Linked DNA regions of Macaca fascicularis. The protein of the gene in region 3 interacts with the protein of the main gene of each other region in a pairwise test. Links are inferred from orthologs where the notes say so. Each region holds a gene or a part of one and is shown on either strand. Other genes may lie near its edges. The genes, in order: SLC35A2, CCER1 and PLSCR1.

Region 1 (3,655 bases), on a different chromosome or scaffold from region 3:
CGAGGTCAGGAGATGGAGACCATCCTGGCTAACACGGTGAAACCCCGTCTCTACTAAAAATACAAAAAATTAGCTGGGAGTGGTGGCATGCACCTGTAGTCCCAGCTACTCGGGAGGCTGAGGCAGGAAAATCACTTGAACCTGGGAGGTGGAGGTTGCAGTGAGCCTGAGCCGAGATGGTGCCACTGTGCAAAAAAAAAAAAAAAAAAAAAAAAAGAAAAGTCTAGACTAAACTTCTCTTCTGTGTGGGAGACAGCCCTCCACCCCAGCTCCTAGGGCTTCTATTTCATAAGCTCCAAGTTAATGATGGTTATTTCTTATTTTATTTTATTTTATTTGAGATGGAGTCTCACTCTGTCGCCCAGGCTGGAGTGCAAATGGCATTGTCTCAGCTCACTGCAACCTCTGCCTCCCAGGTTCAAGCAATTCTCTTGCCTCAGCCTCCCAAGTAGCTGGGATTACAGGCACATGCCACCACACCTGGCTAATTTTTGTATTTTTAGTAGAGATGGGGTTTCCGTGTGGTTGGCTCAGCTGGTCTTGAACTCCTGACCTCATGAGCCACCCGCCTTGGCCTCCCAAAGTGCTGGGATTACAGGCATGAGCCATGGCGCCTAGCCTAATGATGGTTATTTCATTGTACAAAAATGTATTGAGTATTGAGTGCTTGCCCTGAATGGGGCTGTCTGCCAGGGAGGTAGGCTCTAACATAGTGACATGCTCTGTGATTAGCAGACACAGATGGCTGATTCTTTTGCTGCCATTAAACTGAGTCTCAGAAAAGCTAGCTGGAAACATGGTTATACCCTAGGGAAAACCAAGATCACAGACTTCATTCCAGCCCCCAGGGATTGGACAGCAGGGTGGATGGGGGAGTCACGATAGCAAGGCCTGTTCCCAGCCTTCAGGGGTTCCCCGTGTATGGCTGTCAGTGCTGAGAAGGGCTCTCCTCCTCCCACCTAGGTAACGTGAAGCACCTGGTTCTCTTCCTTCATGAGGCTGTCCTGGTGCAGTATGTGGACACACTCAAGCTCGCAGTGCCCTCTCTCATCTACACCTTGCAGAATAACCTCCAGTATGTTGCCATCTCTAACCTACCAGCTGCCACTTTCCAGGTGAGCCGCAAGCCCAGCATGGCCCCAGAGGAACTAACTGGGTTGGGGACTGGAGTATGGGAATAGCGTGGTGGGGGGATGTTGCAGAGGACAGGGGCTATGTCACCTCCAGAATGTCCTTGGAATTCCCTCAACCTTTTCTCGTCTGAAAATTGGGGGTGGAAATAGTAATGCCTGTTCACTGAGATGCTAGGATACTTAAAAGAAATAATACCTGTGAAGAGCCCTTGGTTGATGATAGATAAGCTTTAGGCTATTTGTGGGCAGCTTTGTGAAATGGTTAAAGAGCCTGGATTCTGGGAGCAGGCTGCCTGGGTTCAAATCTCAGCTCTGCTACTTTCCAGCTGTGTGATTTTGGGGCACGTCACCTAACCTTTCTGTGCCTTAGTTTTCTCATCTTTAAATTGGGGCTTACAGTGGTGCTCACTTCAGAATGGTGTTGTGAGAATTAAATGAATGAATTCATGTGCAGTGCCTAGAACCACACTGATACATTGTAAACACTATGTAAGTATTTGCTGAAATTGTTGTGGCTATTGATTCATTTGTATCAAGTCCCTCATCACAAAGATACTTCCATACCTCAGCCATCTTTTATAGATGATGATGCCAGGGCTCAGACAGGGCAAGTGCTTTGTCCCGTCACACAGCCAGGAAATAGGATTGGGATGTGGACTTCCTGGCACAGCCGTCCTTTTGTGCACTTGGTGGGAGAGACCTCAGAACTGTTTTGCTGCAGCTCAGCCAATGGCCAGTGGCTGGCTCCTTTTGCTGTTTTTGTTGTCATACCCCCCACCCTGTCCCTCCGTTGTGCCTGGGGACCCACAGTGGGTGCTGCCCCCCATATGTACCTGTTGGGGGCCAGGGTTAGCCCTCAGTGCCTTCCACGTGCCACTCGCAGGTGACGTACCAGCTGAAGATCCTGACCACAGCGCTGTTCTCCGTGCTCATGCTGAACCGCAGCCTTTCCCGGCTGCAGTGGGCCTCCCTGCTGCTCCTCTTCACTGGCGTCGCCATTGTCCAGGCACAGCAAGCCAGTGGGGGAGGCCCACGGCCACTGGATCAGAACCCTGGGGCAGGCCTGGCAGCCGTCGTGGCCTCCTGTCTCTCCTCCGGCTTTGCAGGTGTCTACTTTGAGAAGATCCTCAAAGGCAGCTCAGGCTCCGTGTGGCTGCGCAACCTGCAACTGGGCCTCTTTGGCACAGCACTGGGCCTAGTGGGGCTCTGGTGGGCTGAGGGTACCGCCGTGGCCACCCGCGGTTTCTTTTTTGGGTACACGCCTGCTGTCTGGGGCGTGGTGCTCAACCAGGCCTTTGGTGGGCTACTGGTGGCTGTGGTTGTCAAGTACGCTGACAACATCCTCAAGGGCTTTGCCACCTCCCTGTCCATTGTGCTGTCCACTGTTGCCTCCATTCGCCTCTTTGGCTTCCACGTGGACCCATTATTTGCCCTTGGCGCTGGGCTCGTCATTGGTGCCGTCTACCTCTACAGCCTTCCCCGAGGTGCAGCCAAAGCCATAGCCTCTGCCTCTGCTTCCGCCTCCGGGCCCTGCGTTCACCAGCAGCCTCCCGGGCAGCCACCGCCACCGCAGCTGTCTTCCCACCATGGAGATCTCATCACGGAGTCCTTTCTGCCGAAGTCAGTGCTGGTGAAGTGAGGGCTGGCAGCAATGGGGAACACAAGGGAGGGGGACTGGGGTGGAGGGTGTTGGGCATCTGCAGGACCCAAGTTGCCGCCCTCCGGGGCCTGGCTCCTCTGGGTTTGGGAGATGGTCTTTTCTCCCAGGTCACTGAGACTTCTGGAGGGGCGTGGGACTAGAGCTGGGTGTCACGTGAACCCTTCCTGGTAGGCTGACCCCCTTCCCCCGGTGGGGGTTTTAGAGCTGCCTCCTCTGCCCCCTCTAACCTCTTTGGAGGCAGGGTCGGGGTTATTATTCAAGGCCTTTTTTTTTGTCTGCTCCCTCCCTGACCCTATGCCCTCTTCTGGAGGTGTCTTGTCTGGGAGATTCCCTCCCAGCAGTCCCTCCACCTCCATAAGGACACACTGGACAGAACTCCGCAGCTCTTCAGGAATGACCGATGCCTACCTGTTGGGGTTCAGTTGCCCGTAGTTTGAGGCCTTCTCTCCTCCCTTACCACCGCTCTGGATCATGTTAGCAGTTCCGTCTTTTGTGTGGCCTTGGGCCAGCTTCCCTGACACCTTGAAGATGGACTTCTTGTGAGTCCCCAGGGAGAAAGGGACAAGAGCTAAGATTTTTGCATCAGCCCTTCTGGCAGAAGGTGCGGTCGGGGCCATTTGATTTTTAGTGGACTTGGGATTTGTGGTGTAATCATATCATTAATGATCCAGGGTGTGGGAAAAATGGAGGTCCTTGAAGTGGCTGAATCTCATTGTATTTAAGACACTGTCAGTTGCCAGATGCAGGGTTATTTTTGGAGACGTCTAGAGAGGAAAAATAAAGCTGCCAATCATACTGTTGATATCTGTCTGGCTGTGTGAGGCACCCCTACCTCATGGGGGTGTCGTGGGATTGATGAACT
Region 2 (3,080 bases), on a different chromosome or scaffold from region 3:
TGGTGGAAAAATCTACGAGGTAAAATATTGTTGAAAAAAAATACAGGGATTGAAAATGGCTTCAGTTATGTTAAGAGCACTGGTGAACATTCAGCAGCGTTAGAATGTGCTTTCTTATGCATGTAACAAACTATCTCTTCATGCCAAGCTCATTAAGTGGCTAAGTTGTATAAATTTGTTCAAAAACAAACGCTTTTCCAGCATTTATAGATTTCAAAAAAAAACAGCAACTTTGTTTTCTAGTGGGGAAAACACCAGGTGAAAATATTCTAATGGTAGTAATAAAATACTTGGCCTTTAATCAGTTCCAGTAAAATTATATTTGAAAGCTCCCCCACCACCACCCATAGTCATACACATACGCATCAAATTTTAAGCATTTTATAATGGCCAAAGAAGGTGTTTACATCTGTTTATTAATGGAACTCACTTTTTAATCAGTTTTTAATAAATTGCTAATCCAGTTTAGCCTCAAATCAGTTCCATCCCTTTCCTCAATCCCTTTTCTGATGTCTAACAGTTAAAGTCCTGTGCAGTGAACAGGGATTCCTGTGGCACTTTGGGAATTATCTGCTCTGGGTTTAAAAAAGTGCAGCTTATAAAGTTCTCTCTCTTTTCTTCAGCCTCTACGAAGATTGATAAAGGCATTTCCAGAGGCAAATGAAATTCTTCCCCTCTCTGCTCGTTCTCCTCCAGGACCTCCTCTTCCCCTTCTACCTCCTCCTCTTCCTCCTCCTCCTCCTCCTCCTCCTCCTCCTCCTCCTCCTCCTCCACATATTCAGCCTCTTCGACCTCTTCCTCCTCCTCATCTTCGACCTCTTCCTCTTCCTCATCTTCCACCTCTTCTTCCTCATCTTCGACCTCTTCTTCCTCATCTTCAACCTCTTCTTCCTCCTCCTCGCTCACCTCCTTTGCATCACACACCTCCTGGTCATACTCCTCCTCATCATCATTTTTCTTCTCCTCTTCCTCCACCAGCAACGGGGCAAGAGACTGGTTTTCCTCTGATTTAGGACTGAATGCTAGAGAGGGATTCTGCACAAAGCCATACAGAGCTTCCTGCAGTCCCCAGGTTTCCTCGCTGCCGCCAGGGGGCGCGTCGTTTCCGGAGGATCTGGCCGGGGAGGCCTCGCCGCTCACCGGGGCCTTCTGCGCCCTCAGCGCCTCCTGCTGACGCTCCAGCTTCTCCTGCTGCCGCATGTCCTCGTAGATCTGGTTCATGATGAATTGGGTGGTGTTGGGCGGCGCTCGCATGCCAGGCTCTCTCCACTCGTACAGCTTGACCGGCCGCGGCAGCGTGCTCACATTCGCTGGCGGGCTCCGCGGGGAGGAGCGGCGAGGGTGGTGGCGCAGGCCGCGACCCCTGCGGCCCCAGCGCTTCTTCCTGCCTGGGGGCCTCGCCCAGCTAGGGTTCCAGGACCCGTTCCAGCAGGAGCAGCAGCAAAAGCAGAGAGGGTGCAGGCCATACACCCGAAACACTTGCACTGGGCAATGGAACTTCCGGAATCCTGGAGGGGGTGGGCGCCAGGGCCCTCCCCAGCACCCCCAGTTAAAGCACACGGGTGGTTGGAACCAAAAGCCCGGGCCGTGCTGTTGCTTCGGCTGCTTCCTTGGGGGCCCATACTCGGTCTTGGGGCTATAGCGGTGCGGCCTATTGTACACTGGAGCGCCCTGGCGCCTTCGATGGCAGGACGACCAGGAGCTCAAGGAGGCCGAGTGTGCCCAGCCACCGCCGCCCAGGTTCAGAGGGTCTTCCCTTGTGTCGAGGGTCTGAGTCATCGTTCGGGGAGCTCTGAGAGGTCTAGATGGTAGCGACCCAGAAGCTGTCGTCAAGTTTTGCCAGATAGGACGGTCAGAAGAGCCTCGTCTCGTCACCCTGTCTCTCCACGCAGTGCCACGTGTCTACCCCTGGGATCACGTTTTCTCTCCAGGAGGCCGCTCTCTTCCTGGTTTGCGAGCTCTTCGGTAGTAATCGCTTGTCCTTCGCACCTGGGTTGTCTCACCCAGGTGTGCTGGGTGGGACTGGGGCTGGGCAAGGATGGTGGGGGAGGAAGGTGTTGGCAGGCGACACGCAGTGAGACCCACTCCCGGGTCCCCCCCACACCCGGCTCTGCTGAGGCACGGGCTGGGGCCGGGGGAGGCAGGGGTTGCGCAGTTACCTGCTGCTACCTCTCAACCCAGGTGCTTCACTGTCGCCGTCCTGGCAGGACTGGGGTGGCGAGGGCAGCGGCAGCCTTTAAATACTGGCTGTGGTCTCCCGCGTGCCCACCGCGTTCTTGGTCGCCCAGGGCAACAGCCAATTGGGGTCGAAATCGTCCTCCCTGTGTGCAAGACCGGGTTCTGGCTGGAACCAGGCTCTAGGTGAACATTCGCAGGGGGCTTGTGACGTAGCGTTTGGGGGAGGCGAAGAGGGGCTCAGGCTGGGTTTGTGCTGCTCAATTCAAGCACGTCTGGAGGCAGTTTATCCGAAAGCTTTGTGTCACCTTGAGGCAGGGGTTTAGAAGATGGGCCTTCATCTGAACCCGGTGGGGGCGGGAGAACTTGAGTTTTGAAAACCCCACATTCTACACCTTTGGAGGGTAAAATGACACAAGCCAGGGTAGGGATGCCTATTTTTACATCAAGCACAAGTGTCTTTACATGTACTATATCACCTCTTTTGTATTAATGGAAAATTAATGGAAAATTACTGGAGAAAGAAAACTTGGCCCAACCTCTTACCTTCTGGCCGGTGCCAACTCTTCTTACTCCGGGGAAATGGAATTCATAATACATAAAACAAGGCCACAAACATTTATTATTGCATGTGCTTCCTGACACATAATCCTGTCATCTACCCTGAGAGGTAGGCGTATCTTATCACCTGTCACAGATGAGGGAACTGAGGGGTTAATTTCCCCATGGTTGTGGGGCTAATACATTTTCGGGCTACTATTTAAGCCTAAGCCTGTTTGATGCTAAAGTTAGATTCTTAATGGCATTGCTGTATGTTCTACCAAACCATCAGTAGGACCCTTGTGATAACTAAATGACATGCATTTGGGAATGTACTTTGTTATCGGTAATATACTATACATATG
Region 3 (2,805 bases):
ACTTTCCTCAGCAATAAAATCCCCGCATTTACCATCCTTCAGTTGTTTTTGTGACCACATTTTTCCTGGACGCCGGACAAGAGCCTGGGAGCCATGAGTGCAGATATAAAAGGCACTAACACTCGCCCTTTGCCCTTGCTGGTGGAGGGCAGCTGTCCCACGTGACAAGACAAAGGGCTCACGGAGCTGTTAACACTTAAGCTGTCCACAGACTGCAGAGCTAAAAGAGCACCGTAACACACCTTCTGGGGCTTCAGGAATCGCAGGCAACCGCACCTGGTTGCTACCACAGGGCGTGCACGGAGTTTGCTCTTGCCCGTGCCAAAGCGGTCAGCCAGTTCCAGTGCTTGTGCACTCCAGTTCCTGCCTTGTTTGCCTGCGCACTCCCTCCCAGGAGGAGTTGAGAGTGGCAGGCTGAGTAAACAAGACACCCCTTCTCGAGTCCCAGGAAGGGGTCAGGGAAATATCCTGCTTCAAATGTACCATCATTTAACTGAATGAGTGTTCAAAATACCATCTGAACACATTTTGTTTAAAAACAAAAGTCAAATATACAAAAAAATCAAGTTTTTATTTCAAATATTTGAATCTAATAGATCATTATTTAGGTTTATTTTCTGTGAATATATATATATATATAATATTATATTTAATTAACATCTGAAAATTACCATTTTCTAGAAAGGATAGAGTATAAAAGCTATACATTTCATATATAAATATTAACTTTCAAAATTTATAATAGTACGAGTTTTAGAGTGAAGGAGTGTTTAAAATGTGCCTTTCTTTGGACAAGAATCATTTTGTTCTTTATTTTGTTCTTTATTTAACAATAATTTAAAAACTGGTAATTTAATATCTTGTGAACATGAATGTATCATTTATGGTACAGCTTAGCTTCTAGGAGAAGTTAAGTGTAGCATGATTTCTTGAAGATTAAAAAAATACATTTAACTTTTTAAAGATAATATACATATTGAATATTATTTGAACATAACAGTAAAGAAAATTATCTTTGAACTTTTTTGAATATATGGCATTTGCAAAATAACATTAGCTATTATGCATGAAATAAATTGTAACTAGATTTAAAATATAATTTATATAAAAATTAATAAGGCCTTAGTTAATATTCGGTAGTAAAATGGACAGTGGATCAGAGATCATAATTCAAAGCAGTTTTTTATAGGAAGTTTCATTAATAAATGCAAAAACTCAGATGCCCTTTTTCTCAAATTCACAATGAGTATTAAAAAATGTACAAAAACCTTTATAAATCAGTTATACAGAAGATAAACTATAATTTGAAAAGCAAAAGTATACAACCAGAGCTACAGGCATTACAGCTTAATTCACACAGGTATGAGTTTAGATAGTCTCAATCAATTTACGGACTTCAGATTTCCTGAGGAGACTTTCACTAATCCACTACCACACTCCTGATTTTTGTTCCTGGCTGCCAGTGCTTTCAAAAAACATGAAATCCTAGATAAAAACAAAAATATACAAATGAATTTTCAGCAACAAAACAGAGATCAATGATCAGATGCAGAAATACTAAGGGATCTAGTGAAACACAGTAACATATCTGTTAAAAAAATTAAATGTAATAAACACAGAAAAGCTCTATAGTTATATAAGTTCTACCTTTAGCTTTCCATTTTAATAATAAATTTTATAATTCTATTCATGTATTGATACCTGTATGAATTTAATTAATCTTCCGGTTATTTTCTCTAAATGTGACTTTTTCTCTATCCCCATAATTCTCATCTGTGGCTGCATATTGGAACCACCTGGAGCACTATACGAACTTCGAAGTTTGACTCAGTTGAACTGAGGTATGGACTAGTACTTACAGTTTTTAAAGGTCCCTAAGTGATTCTAATGTGAAGGCAATTTCAGAATCACTGGTATATCCGATTATCTCCTGTAATTTGGTAGTTAGGTCTACACACTTGAGTGAATGCACACTCTTACTGTAGTTCATACTCCTATATTAGATGGTTTAATTTAATTACTATGAGTCATGGTCAAGTTTCCTTGTTTCACTAAATTTTTTCCACATATGCCCGCTTTCAATTTCTTCAAAGCATGTAGGAGATGGCTGATTTAAGGGGAGACTAAAATCTCTCCTCAGTACGCCTCCTTAGTCCCTCTCTTGCCATGTGAATATTCATAGACTCTTCAGACAGAAACTAGTCACCCCAGAGTGTCAGGATCAAATAGAATTTCAGAGCTAGGATTAAATGGGAATCCTGATTTAAAAATCTATAAATTTTAAAAAGTCATTTTGAAATATACACTTTACTGAATCATTTCAGAATGATTAGTAGAAAGCATATAGAGAAAGCATCTATAATCAAGATTAATAAGAACAAACTTACAATGAGGAAACAGGCACCAATCATTACAGCTTTCATTTTAACATCAAGGTCTAAAGGGAACTGGATTCCAAAGTTATCAGCATCTGTAAATGCCTCTCTCAAAATTCCAGTCCAGTGCTTGGAAATTTTGCCAACCACACACTGTTCATCAAGAGATTTAATCTAAATTGAAAAAAAAGTATTACATATTTTTAGGAAACTTATAGCAAAAGTACTTTCAAATTTGAAGATGAAACAAATATGGTATTAAAATTATGTACCATATGTAACCATGAACATGTAACCCTCATTAGATAACTAGAGGCTCCGGTATCTATTTATAGATATATGAAAAAAACTGTTTCATTATATAGAGAAATTATATGAAAGTAGTTTTTCTGAAATATTTAACAATTTCTATTTTATATTAATAGACATT

What was found.
Region 1: the proteins of PLSCR1 (region 3) and SLC35A2 interact in a two-hybrid assay, tested with the Homo sapiens proteins (2 studies listed by BioGRID and IntAct). The two-hybrid records come from large-scale screens. The link is inferred for Macaca fascicularis from reciprocal best matches to the Homo sapiens genes PLSCR1 and SLC35A2.
Region 2: the proteins of PLSCR1 (region 3) and CCER1 interact in a two-hybrid assay, tested with the Homo sapiens proteins (2 studies listed by BioGRID and IntAct). The two-hybrid records come from large-scale screens. The link is inferred for Macaca fascicularis from reciprocal best matches to the Homo sapiens genes PLSCR1 and CCER1.

The regions. Positions count from the first base shown.
Region 1 is NC_088395.1:49,059,802-49,063,456, reverse strand, and holds part of SLC35A2 (UDP-galactose translocator), read left to right. Parts: intron 1-963; coding exon 964-1,115; intron 1,116-2,016; coding exon 2,017-2,753; coding exon of another isoform or gene 2,754-2,772; exon of another isoform or gene 2,773-3,103; coding exon 3,104-3,230; 3' UTR 3,231-3,655. UniProt on the Homo sapiens protein: Transports uridine diphosphate galactose (UDP-galactose) from the cytosol into the Golgi apparatus, functioning as an antiporter that exchanges UDP-galactose for UMP.
Region 2 is NC_088385.1:97,969,555-97,972,634, forward strand, and holds CCER1 (coiled-coil domain-containing glutamate-rich protein 1), read right to left. Parts: upstream 1,780-3,080; coding exon 862-1,779; intron 817-861; coding exon 514-816; downstream 1-513. UniProt on the Homo sapiens protein: Regulator of histone epigenetic modifications and chromatin compaction into the sperm head, required for histone-to-protamine (HTP) transition.
Region 3 is NC_088376.1:49,326,347-49,329,151, forward strand, and holds the end of PLSCR1 (phospholipid scramblase 1), read right to left. Parts: intron 2,550-2,805; coding exon 2,388-2,549; intron 1,486-2,387; coding exon 1,429-1,485; 3' UTR 553-1,428; downstream 1-552. UniProt on the Homo sapiens protein: Catalyzes calcium-induced ATP-independent rapid bidirectional and non-specific movement of phospholipids (lipid scrambling or lipid flip-flop) between the inner and outer leaflet of the plasma membrane resulting in collapse of the phospholipid asymmetry which leads to phosphatidylserine externalization on the cell surface.